2 linked regions of the Danio rerio genome follow. Each later gene encodes a partner of the first gene's protein in a complex. Links are inferred from orthologs where the notes say so. Each region holds a gene or a part of one and is shown on either strand. Other genes may lie near its edges.

The links. The genes of interacting proteins can lie anywhere in the genome.
Region 2: phldb2b (region 1) and erc1b share a complex: the UniProt entries of both Homo sapiens proteins name them as parts of the cortical microtubule stabilization complex. The link is inferred for Danio rerio from reciprocal best matches to the Homo sapiens genes PHLDB2 and ERC1.

The regions. Positions count from the first base shown.
Region 1 is NC_133199.1:29,127,630-29,134,265, forward strand, and holds the start of phldb2b (pleckstrin homology-like domain family B member 2), read right to left. Parts: upstream 4,291-6,636; 5' UTR 4,022-4,290; coding exon 3,998-4,021; intron 1-3,997. UniProt on the Homo sapiens protein: Seems to be involved in the assembly of the postsynaptic apparatus. May play a role in acetyl-choline receptor (AChR) aggregation in the postsynaptic membrane.
Region 2 is NC_133179.1:8,748,883-8,754,796, reverse strand, and holds part of erc1b (ELKS/Rab6-interacting/CAST family member 1), read right to left. Parts: intron 3,374-5,914; coding exon 3,299-3,373; intron 1,956-3,298; coding exon 1,800-1,955; intron 179-1,799; coding exon 95-178; intron 1-94. UniProt on the Homo sapiens protein: Regulatory subunit of the IKK complex. Probably recruits IkappaBalpha/NFKBIA to the complex. May be involved in the organization of the cytomatrix at the nerve terminals active zone (CAZ) which regulates neurotransmitter release.

The DNA of each region.
Region 1 (6,636 bases):
TGAAGTACAAATCGAAGCTGTTCTCTGACTTTCAACACTGTATGATTGTCAGGTTTTTGTTAATGTTCTAAAATGTTGACATTATTTTAACACTCGCTACGTTCATCTGCATTCTGACCATAATTCATTAGGCTATTTATTAATATTTTTATTCATTTATTAAAATATTTTTCTTGATTGATAATTAAAATAACAGTATATACACTCACCGGCTGCAGAGTTGTACACCTGTCTAACTGCTCGATAATGCAAATTTCTAATCAGCCAATCACATGGCAGCAGCCTAGTGTATTTAGAAATGTTAGACATGTGCACGCAGACGTGGTCAAGACGATCTCCTGCAGTTTAAACCGAGCATCAGAATGGGGAGGAAAGGTGATTTAAGTAATTTTGAACGTGACATGTTTGTTGGTGCCAAACGGGTTGATCTGAGTATTTCAGAAACTGCTGATCTTCTGAGATATTCACGCACAACCATCTCTTGGGTTTACAAAGAATGGTCCAAAAAAGAGAAAATATCCAGTTCTGTGGGCGCAAATGCCTTGTTGATGCCAGAGGTCAGAGGAGAATGGCCAGACAGTAACTCAAATAACCACTCGTTACAACCGAGGTATACAGAAGAGCATCTCTGAACGCACAACATGTCCAACTTTGAGGCAGATGGGCTACAGTAGCAGAAGACCACTCCGGGTGCTACTCATGTCAACAAAGAACAGGAAACTGAAGCTATAATTCGCACAGGCTCACCAAAATTGGACAATAGAAAATTGGAAAAACGTTGCCTGGTCTGATGAGTCTTGATTTTTGCTGCGACATTCGGATGGTAGGGTCAGAATTTGTTATCAATAACATGAAAGCATGGATCCATCCTGCCTTGGATCAACTGTTCAGGCTGGTGGTGTAATGGTGTGGGAGATATTTTCTTGGCACACTTGGGCCCATTAGTACCAATTAAGCATCTGGTCATTGCCACAGCCTACCTGAGTATTGTTGGCTACTTACAGCAGGATAATGCGCCATGTAATCAACAGTGAGGTGTACCTATTAAAGTGGCCGGCGAGTGTATAATTATAATTATGTATCATTCAGAAATCACACTTGTGATCATTGGCAGTTAAAGCAGATTGAGGATAAGCATATAAATTTGCATTGGAGATATAATTATTTATCTATTTATTTATTTAGAGATTATGTGATTATGAGTCATTTTAAATCATATGCAAACTAACAATTGCCAGAAAAGTCACATCATTTCATGCAGTGCAATTTTGATGAAGTAAAACGTTTAAAATATCACTTTTTGAGAAGTGTGAGAAGACCACCAAAGGGTGAACATAAATTGTAATCTTTTGCATCAATGGTTTTAAGAAGATCCTTTAACTTCCATAAATAATTTCCAAAGCAAATTAAGTGGTAAAATGTTCTTTATGTTAATAAAATGCTGTTCATGATCATTAAAAGAGCTGTTCACTGGAATGATCTTTAAAAGTTTTGTGGCTTTGAAAGCTCTCTGTTGAAACCAAGAGTATGACTTCAGGCAGATGTTTGTTAAATTCAGCCAGGCTTTAGCTAGCCAGAGCCACAGGGGGTATATTTATTAAAAGAATCATCACTCAGCACATGTGATTACTGTCTCTGTGGCATCTGCACAGTAATCAACAATGATTTCACACCTGTTTATCACAGAAAGCTCTTTGAGTCAGCTGGATCGCAGATTAACACACCTGAGCCAAATTGTGCAAAGTTCAATGTTTTCACAACTACAGTGTCTGGATCACTTGTAGCATCTCTCTCTGTCTGTGTTTATTTCTTTTCTTCCTCTCGCACTGACTCATGAAATAATTGCTGCTCTTATGCATGTTACTCATGGCAATTGTGTACTGAGCGTAAAAGACGGTGTTTTACAACCATAACATCTGGTTTGAGGGTTCAAAATGTTGTTTTTGCATAGTAGATGGATCTTTTTTTTGTTCAGTTTGATTGATGAGTCTTTTTCAGAGACAATGAAATCTGCAGTCATGTCACAAGTTCATAACCTGCAGGTTATTTCTAATGTGGGTTATTTCATTGTCTATGATGTTGGATGTTTACTGTATGATGCCTATCTCTCAGTCACGAGTCATGATTCAGTGCCAGTGATGAATTCAGTAGACAAAACACATCCAGACCCAAAAGTCGGTCACAGATTAAAGTCAGAGTTCGCTCAAACATAAAAAAAGTTTTTCTTCATAAAATCTCAATGTATTGAGTCATAGGTATTACTTTTGTTTTGCCAATACACGTCTTTTTGGCACCACAAATTTCTGGTAGCCATGGGCTTGCATTTTATGAATCACCAAAGACCACAGTTTCTGTTAAAAATCTTCTAGATGTGGAGAAAAACTGTCTCCTACTGCCAGGATGGCCTGAAAATGAGTAAATTAACAGCAAATTTTCATTTCGGGTCAGTAAATGAAAAAACACTATAGCAGTCCAAATTATCAGTTTATTTATCCGCTATATAAGCAAACAGGTATTGAGGGGTTGTAGAGACATTCAAAAAAGATCATATTTTCTATTTTTTGCTATTTATATTTATTATATTATATTTAGTTATTTTATGTAAGACTGCAAATCAGATTCAATAATGCAGTATATCATTACATTATGTGTTCAGGTGATTTTTATTAAAGTTTATTCATTTTCCTTCAGCTCAGTCCATTAATTCAATTCAATTCAATTCAGCTTTATTTGTATAGCGCTTTTACAATGTAGATTGTGTCAAAGCAGCTTCACATAAATGGTCATAGTAACTGGATCAGGGTAGTTCAGTTTTTTAGTGTTTAAGTTCAGTTCAGTTTAGCTCAGTTCAGTGTGGTTTGAAGTCATTACTGAGAGTCCAAACACTGAAGAGCAATTCATCAGGGTTTGCCACAGCAGAATGAACCACCAACTTATCCAGCATTTGTTTTACACAGCAGATGACCTTCCAGCTCCAACCCAACCTCATTCAGACTTATAACACAACGGCCAATTTAGTTTATTCAATTTATAGCGAATGAGTTTGAACTGTGGGGGAAACTGGAGCACCTGGAGGAAACCCACGTGAGCACGGGGAGTACGTTCAAACTCCACACAGAAATGCCAACTGGGTTAGCCAAGACTTGAACCAGCCCTCTTGCTGTGAGGTGACAGTGCTACTCACTGCGCCACTGTGTCATGTCTTTTTGGCACCACAAATTGCTGGTAGCCATTGGCTTGCATTTTATGAATCACCAAAGACCACAGTTTCTGTTAAAAATCTTCTAAATGTTGTTCTATTGGGGAAAAATGATCTCTTACATCCAGGATAGCCTGAGAATGAGTGAATTAACAGTAAATTTTCATTTTGGGTCAGTTAAGGTGACTGCAGCCAAAATAAATAAATAAACACTAGCAGTCCAATTTATCCGTTTATTTACCCACTATAAAAGGAAACCGGTATTGAGTGGTTGTTCAGTGAGGGACACTCAAAAAAGATCATATTTTAAATTTATTCAGTATTTATATTTACAGTTATTGACTGCAATTCAAATTCAATACAGCTGTATAATTACAGCAAGCACTTGGTTAAGTTTTATGAGAGTTCATATTTGCTGTGATGGAAATAAAACTTAGATAAAAAAAATCCACAGCTGGGACAGCAGAAAGACGTCTTTTTTATTTTTTATTTTTTTAACATTCACTTTATAGAAATATAGCCTATTTATTTTAGGTGTCATTACCGATCCGCACCAGACAGAAGAATTCATTACCACCATCATTATCGTGATAATATACCATTACACATATACAATAAAGTTAGTAACATATATACAGGATATATACTTAAAAAATAACAACCAATTTTTCAAGAAATTTATTTCCGGGGACTCCATGCTTAATTTGAGTTACTGAATTTGATTAATTAAATGTTTACTTCGGGGTTTATATTTGCAGATTAATCAAATGACTAATAAAAGGAAAAAAGTAAACTTACCATTGCTGAAACGATGTCTGTCATATCCTATGGCTGTTCCAAACAAACACACTTATTGAAGATGCGTTGCGCTCTTCTCCAAATATACTCTGCGCTTCCAAATCACTGAGAGAAAATACCTCAGATATAAACTCCACCTCTTCGCCGAAAGTTTTAAAAATAAAACTAGCGAAACAATATGATCCAAAAAATGAGTTCGCAGAGTGATTAAACAAGTCCAGCAGTGGCTCTTTGGTGACTTTAAAGGCGCTGTCCTGACTGCTGTCGCTCTTGGCCAGCGGCGGCTCCGCTGTGCTGTGGAATGCGCAACAGCTGGAACCAGAACGTGCGGTGGTGATCTGAGCATGCGTTCTGGAGACCGGGGCGCGTGCACCTCAACTAGCATTGACAGTTCGATGCGCACAAGTCAAGACATTCACCAAAGCAGCAATTTAAAAGGTGTCACATGATCCTCAGCGTATTCTTAATATAAATGCATTTTTTTTTATTTTTAACGGTTTATTTTGTGACAAATTTGATTGACATTATTAATTGTCACTGTTATTATAAAGCTTCTTGCTGAGAAATGAGTAAAATCTACTTTAAGTGGACTGACGGATAGCATACACATTTTAAATGATTTAATTAGTATTTTTGGGCTGCAGTAAAGTAATTTGAATTATTTATTATGTCATCAAACAAATTAATCTAAGCATGTCTGAAACCTTTGTTTGTTTTTGTTTTGTAAACTAAGGTTAATTCATTACATTTTATATATACAATTAAACAGGACACACTAATGTATGGGGGAAATGAATTAAACTGTAGTTTTGATGCTTTTAATGATCTGTTTTTATTTCTGACCCTTGCATAACGATAACTAATTTTTAAAGATTTATAGATTTGTGCTAATCTTATGATGCCAGTTTATTGGGTGCATTTATTGTTCATTTCTACTCACTAATTCCTTCTTTATTGCTTCTAGTCTTGATCAACATTATTTATTTTTCTGACTGCATCATTCCTCACCCACATCCTTAACCTGGCTGCAATGCATGTGGTGAGTTTTCTTGTCCAAATACCCTGAAATAGATAAGATATGATCAAATAAAGCATGCTTCATTTTCAAAAGGATAAGCTCTCTGCTCAGAATATTCACTGTAACACTATTTGTTTTTAATTAACAAACACAGTTTACAATTTCTGTAATAAATTCTTACTCTCCTCCTCCACCACTCACACCCTTCATCAGTTTGTGATTAGTGATCATGTGTCGCTGAAATCTTTTGGTAAACAGGATGTTCCAGCGCACGCTCACCCAGTTTTCTTTATCTCAGAAATAAGATGAATGGCGTTTGCTAAACAAACAGGTAAAGGCTCAATATATAATTTCTGTAATATTTCGATTTTTACTTTTAAGGGTAAAATAGTATGGCCAATAGTCTTAAAATACATGATTGATTAAAAAAGTTAATCATAATGCAAATTTTGATTACTCACATGCCAAAATAACAAATATTCTTAATGAGTAATTACACTGTAAAAATGCTGACTTTCACACAATTCCTTCATGTTGTCCCAACACAATTGTTTTTACAAATTTAAGTGGATTGAACATAAAACGATTAAATTGTCCCCAAAAAAACAAGTTTTGTGTTGATTCAGCTTATTATAAATCAGTAGTTTGAACAAGCAGCAAAAATCATGTTGTCTCATGTTTGTTTATCAATACCAGTGTACAATTGCATCACATATGCAAATATAGTCTCAATAACAGAGATTTCATTGGCTGTTGGTGATATCTGACACATTGACATGCTCAATCTTTATGTTGGTTTCTTTAAAGGCTTTTTCCCATATTCAGTGTGTATAATGCAAATTTCACTGGACTCGTGCACACACGGTACAGTATATATATATTTTTAAAACATGATCAATATGTAACCCTGAAACAAAAATGTACAACTATTATTTTTTTGTGTGCCAAATATGCATTTTATGGGTAAAAATGTTCACTTTGTCTTTCATGTCAAACTCATAAAAATATTAAGTTGCATGTTTTTATAACAATATTCTGTAAATTTCCTACTGTAAATATATCAAAACTCAAGTTTAAATATGATTTTCTCAGCATTTCTCAAAGCCTGGCTTTAAAGATATTTGTTGACTAATTGTATCGCAAGTAGATGAGGGACACATATTTATATTTACACTAAGTGTATAAACAGTGGTGGAAAGAGTACTGAAAAATCATACTAAAGTAAAAGTACCACTACTTGCCTAAAAATGTAACGCAAGTAGAGTAAAAGTATCTGTTGTGAATATTACTCAATGTATGAGAAAAAAGACCTTTCGAAAGTACTTAAGAGTATGCTGATGCATTTACATGTCATTTGTGGATGTGTGTAAAGGTTACATTTTGTACTGCATTTAGATATTGCCCAGCAGGCACACAATCTCATAAGACGTTTGGGTTAGAGTTAGGTTGTGTTGTCGGGTGACCAAAATTCAATGTCTAGCCAGTGTCTAAAGACAATGTTATTTTGATATCCAATAACAATGTCAAATAAGGTTGATAATTGGTTGATTTTAGGTTAGAATTTGACCAAAATCGTACGTGCAGCCAACATCTTAAACCAACGTCATACTGACGTCAAATA
Region 2 (5,914 bases), on another chromosome or scaffold:
TCTGCTGTGCGTGGGCAAGAGTATCTCTCTGGTCAGAAAAGCAGAGCTGCTCTTGTGTTCTAAGCCACTTCTCTGGAAGTCTTACGGCAGAGACCTCTTGCTGGAGCTCAGAAACCCGTTTTTTCAGCTCTTCGCCCTGTGTTTGACTCTGCGCCAGCTCGTCCTTCAGCTGCTCTACCTGTCAGGAGAGGCCGGCATTACTGCAAAAACCACCAATCACCATTCAGCAGCTGGCATGCAGACACACACCCTGCGGCCAATCAAACCCATGTTGCCAGAGTTATCAGACCGATCTGCGTTCACCTCACAAGCCATGCGGCTATGATTTCGCCACTTAGCTGCAATTAAATTTCCTTTAATAAGAGGTTTTCGAAAAGGTCAGCAGAGGTTTTACTAAAGAAAAATGCTATAGGTATAATTGATGTAGCCGAGGCTCGAAAGAGACATTTTTTTAGACTTGTTAATGATCAGTGACTTGAGAAAACATGCCAGCTGTAAATCTTTAGTGACCAAAAAAAAAAAAAAAAAAAAAACTGTATGTTTATTATTTTATTAAAAGAAAATAATAATATTAATAATAATAATAATAATAATAATAATAATGTTGACAATAATAATAATAATAATGATAATAATAATAATGTTGACAATAGTAATAATAATAATAATAATTCATAAAAATATTTAATAATAATAATAATAAATAATAATAAAAAATCATTTAAAGTTTTTAAATATTTCAAGTTTTTGATGTAGATTATATACAATAGTGTTGTTATTATTATTATTATTATTATTATTATTATTATTATTATTATTATTATTATTGTCAACAACAATATTATTATTTTTATTATTATTATTATTTTTTTATTATTATTATATCATCAACAACAATATTATCTTATTATTATTATTAGTAGTAGTAGTAATATTGACAATACATAATAATTAGTTTATTATTATTATTATTATTATTATTGACAATACATAATAATTAGTTTATTATTATTATTATTATTATTATTATTATTATTATTATTTTATCATCAACAACAATATTATTTTATTATTATTATTAGTAGTAGTAGTAGTAATATTGACAATACATAATAATTAGTTTATTATTATTATTATTATTATTATTATTATTATTATTATTATTGGCAATACATAATAATTAGTTTATTATTGTTATTATTATTATTATTATTATTATTTTATCATCAACAACAATATTATTGTTACTATTATTACTAATATTAAAATTTCAATAACAACTATTCTACAAAATGAAAATATCAATCAAAATGTTAAAATATTTCTAATTATTTATTAAATAAAAAGTAATTTTAATAAACAAAAATAACAAATAAAATATCAGACCTGTTATTTAAAGTAATATAAACTAAAAAAATAAAAGTAATAAATGATTACAAAAATGTATTGATACATATAAAAGTAACGATAATCAAATCATTATTTGTTCATTAGTTATTTAGTTATCTGTTCATTTATTCACAAAAATGCAACTCAATTTACGTTAAAACTGCTTTAAAATGAAAATGTAAGCAATTTTATGCTGATTTCATATTTTCTGATAGACACCATATAACAACACTAGCATCAGCGTAAACATTAGCGACACCACAAGACACCTACTCTTCAACTTCAACAAAACACAGCTAACAAACGAGGTGCAGGTTATTGATATATAACTATAAATACATGCATACATACATGTGTAAATACAAATCTACAGCATAATAAAACATTCCCTATGATCCCCATGACTCTACCTTATTCTTCATGAACTTGGAGTGACTGCGGTAAACCTCCATCTGCTTCATCTCCTCCTCTCGCTCCTCTGTGCTTAGAGCTCCGTTAGACTTCAGCATCTGAATCTCGTCCTCCAGGTCCCTCAGACTGCGCTCCATAGAGCCGATCTTTGAGTCCTGCAGAGATCACAAACACACGTTTCAGGAAAACACAAATAGATGCACAAGGAAGGTGCAAAACACACTATTTCCTGTATGCCAGCTGCTAATAAATAATTATTTAATTAATCTGGATCAGAAGAACGGTTTGGTTGAATAAAACCTTTATGTATACAGCTATTTCACTTGTTTTGAAACACATAAAAAGTGAATAAGTAGTCATGGGGACATTCACTCCAAAAAAAATAAAAAATTCAAGAGTTCACACTTAGCTGATAATTGATTATTAAGCTTGTTTGGCATGCTGTCCCAGGAAAGAGCCCTGAGCTCATGAGATCCTCAAGTCCGGGGCTCCCTCTCGTTGCAAGGCATGAGGGGAGTTTGAGCTCAGGTAGATCTCGAGAACTCCCCTGCTGTAGTAACTAATGAACAGTAAGTGATTGCTCTTTGGAGATAACTACATACTAGAAGCATGTCTATGGTGCCGATTTGGACTAGTCAATTAACTTAATTTGCCATTTTTGGATGGTGGGAGGAAACCGGGGAACCCGGGGGAAACCAACGTGAGCACAGGGAGAAAGTGCAATTTCCACACAGAAATGTCTGCTGGTTTGGTATAGCCTGGAACCAGAAACATTCTTGCTGTGAGGCAACAGTGCTACGCACTGGGCCACCGTGTCACCCATCTAGGAAGGAGGAGGAGGAGTATGGGTGGAAGGGGGGACTCTTCAAAACGAAGATAACAGTGGAATGAAACCCAGGGTATTTATAGTAGTTTAGGAGACGTCTGATTGGAGCATTGTGAATTGGATAATGCGGATCCAGCCGCTAGCAATCATAAGCACGTGATCTGATCCTCTCATAATTAGTTTATACATAAACTTCACATATTATTTTGCTCGCTCAAACGAGTTATTTAAAATGAGCTGAAACAACTAAATTCTTGAGATATCATTGGGACAACTTTTTTTTTTTTTTTTTTCAATCCACATACATTTGTTTAAAGTGTTAAGTTAACCAAATCAATTTGTGTTGGGAAAACATGAATGAAGTGTGTGGAACCCTGCATTTTTTACAGTGTAATACAAAACCTAAATTAAGTCATTTTAGCATGCCAAAGTTGAATTTATGCATAAATAATATCCATTTAAAAATTGTGCGTGGCTAGTAAATGTTGAAAAATTACTAGCCACAGTGGCTGGTGATCAAAAAAAGTTCATGTCAAGCCCTGGACACACTCAATATTGTCATCATGCACAGTATTAAAACAACAACCCCATTATCATTTTATTATTATAAAGAATACTAAAGTTTGTGATTTCCTCACCACACACACAAAGCAAACTCGCACACACACTTGCCTTCATCTCGATGACAGTCTGCAGAGCCTTGGTTTTGGCCGATTCTGGAGCTCCCTCATAACGCCGGTGGAGATCCTGTGGAGAAAACACGAGACGAGGATCATGAGGTGAAACCACAGGAGAGAAACGTCCACCTCTACCGCCAAACGTCAGCTGATGAGGATCCAGTCCATTCCACATTATAATACCCCGCTGATAATAAATGACCACTGACTGATGAATCTCCAGCACCGAATGACTAATTCAGCACACTGATGGCAGTCCGAGAGAGTTTCAGTCTGCTGGCTTGAATGTTTATGCGTGGATGAGTCCCTTATGAACAAGATAATGCACTGAGCAGCGGACAAACAGAGTGAATGCAATGTCCACTAACACAAAGAAGGCAGCCTCCAGCAATTGAAGACCTTAAAATCAGCATTCAGACACAAAACATGAAGCCTCATCCTTCAGATATGATGAACCCACATGGGGAAAACAGTATGACAGTATCTTCATAATTGTAATCAGTTTATTACTGTTAAAGTTTTTCTAACTTCATAGTGCTTCTAAGAAAAAAAAGAAAAAAAAGAATAAAGTTAATTTCTTGCAGTTTATTTCATTTAATTCAACTAAATACTAAGGTTTCTGAATTTTTCATGCAGCCCATTAAATTTAAATGACATTAAAACTGTTTTAAAATGGATTTTAAAAGGGTTTCCAAGACTTTGCCTCATTATCGGTAATTCACAGACATTTGCAGTAAGTCTTTGGTAAAGGAGGAATTTCATATCACAAGATTAAAAAAATGAAGGCTGTTCGTTAACTTCTGCCTGTTCTTTGATGTCCAACTGGAGGCTTCAATGAAAGACCTGAAATGTTCTACTGATCTCTGTCCAAATCATTATTTTAATCATTCACCGCTGCCTTTCGCAGAGCTAAACCCAAAGATCAGAACATGGTAAACACCTGCTCAAGATGATTTTATTTCAAACAAATGCTGTTTTATTAAAACTCCTGAAAATAAAATCCACAAATTGTAACAAATATTTTAAAGGCAGATTCTAAAAATAATGCACAATAATTACAATTACAACAGAAACAATTTGAAATGCATATTTTTTTCTGTTTGTTAATCAAATTGGCCCTAAAGTTGAACTATTTATTTATTTATTTATTTATTTATTTATTTATTTATTTATTTATTTACTTACTTACATACTTACTTACTTATTCATCTATGTATTTATTTATTTGTTTATTTATTTGTTTATTTATTTATTAATTATTTATGTTTTCATTCATTTATTTATTTATTCATTTTTTATTCGTTAATTTATTTATTTATATATTCATTCATTTTTTATTTGTTCATTTATTTATTTATATATTCATTCATTTTTTATTTGTTCATTTATTTATTTGCTCATTTATTTATTTTTTTGTTTGTTTATTTATGTAGTTGTTCATTTATTTGTGTATTTTTTATTATTTACTAATTCATTTATTTATTTCATTTATTTATTTATTTATTTATTTTATTTACTAGTTCATTTGTTCCTTTTTTAATTGCTCATTTATTTATTCGTTCTTTTATTTATTTTGCTTGTTCGTTTTACATTGTATTAGGTTACATTACAGTAAGAATTTCATCATATTAGTGGCTACACATTATTAACCGTTCCTTGTTTGATAATGATTTCAGGTTCCAAAAAGGGAGTAAAACTCTCAGCTCAAAGCCTTTTCTGCAAGTTTCTCAAAAGTAATTCAGAAAATGCGACAAACTAGGTGGCCACTAGATGCCACTGTCGCCAAACTTCTGCATTTGCTCATTGGCTGTCTCAGAAGATGCCTGACAGAAGTTAAAATAAAATAAAATAAAATAAAATAAAATAAAATAAAATAAAATAAAATAAAATAAAATAAAATAAAATAAAATAAAATAAAATAAAATAAAATAAAATAAAATAAAATAAAATAAAATAAAATTAAATTAAATTAAATTAAATTAAATTAAATTAAAATGCCATGAGAAGAGTTAGGATTTATACAAAAACAAACAAACAAAAATCACAACATTAAAAATAAATAAATAAATAAATAAATACAAAACATTTGTAATTTGCATTGTTTTCAATCTCATACCATGCAAATAAATAACGCCCTTAGGGAATTCAGATTTTTACAAAGAAAACCAAACAGACTAAAATAAATCAAATAAAACAAAATAAAAAATTTAAATGTTTGTGTTTTGCATTGTTTTATTCTTTATATCCTTCTAATAAATTATGCCATGAGGCCAGCTCAACTCTTCACAAAAAAGTTCTAATAAATAAAATAAAATAAATTACAAATATTTGTGGATTGCATTGTTTTGATCCTCATACCCTTCTTATAAATTATGCCATGCAGCATCATAATAATAACAATATACTAAATGACAAGACTTTCTTTGCTTGCTTTTACTTTAAGAAGTTTCTTCCCCAGCTATTTTATTTTCACTTTCAGCATTAATACTAATCGAAATCTCTGCCTGAGAAACTCCAATAAACTTCAATCCGAGATATAACTACTAAAGTAAATGTGCTGAATGTTTCGTGTGCCACATTAGCAGTTTTTGCACTCGGCAACATCTGTGTC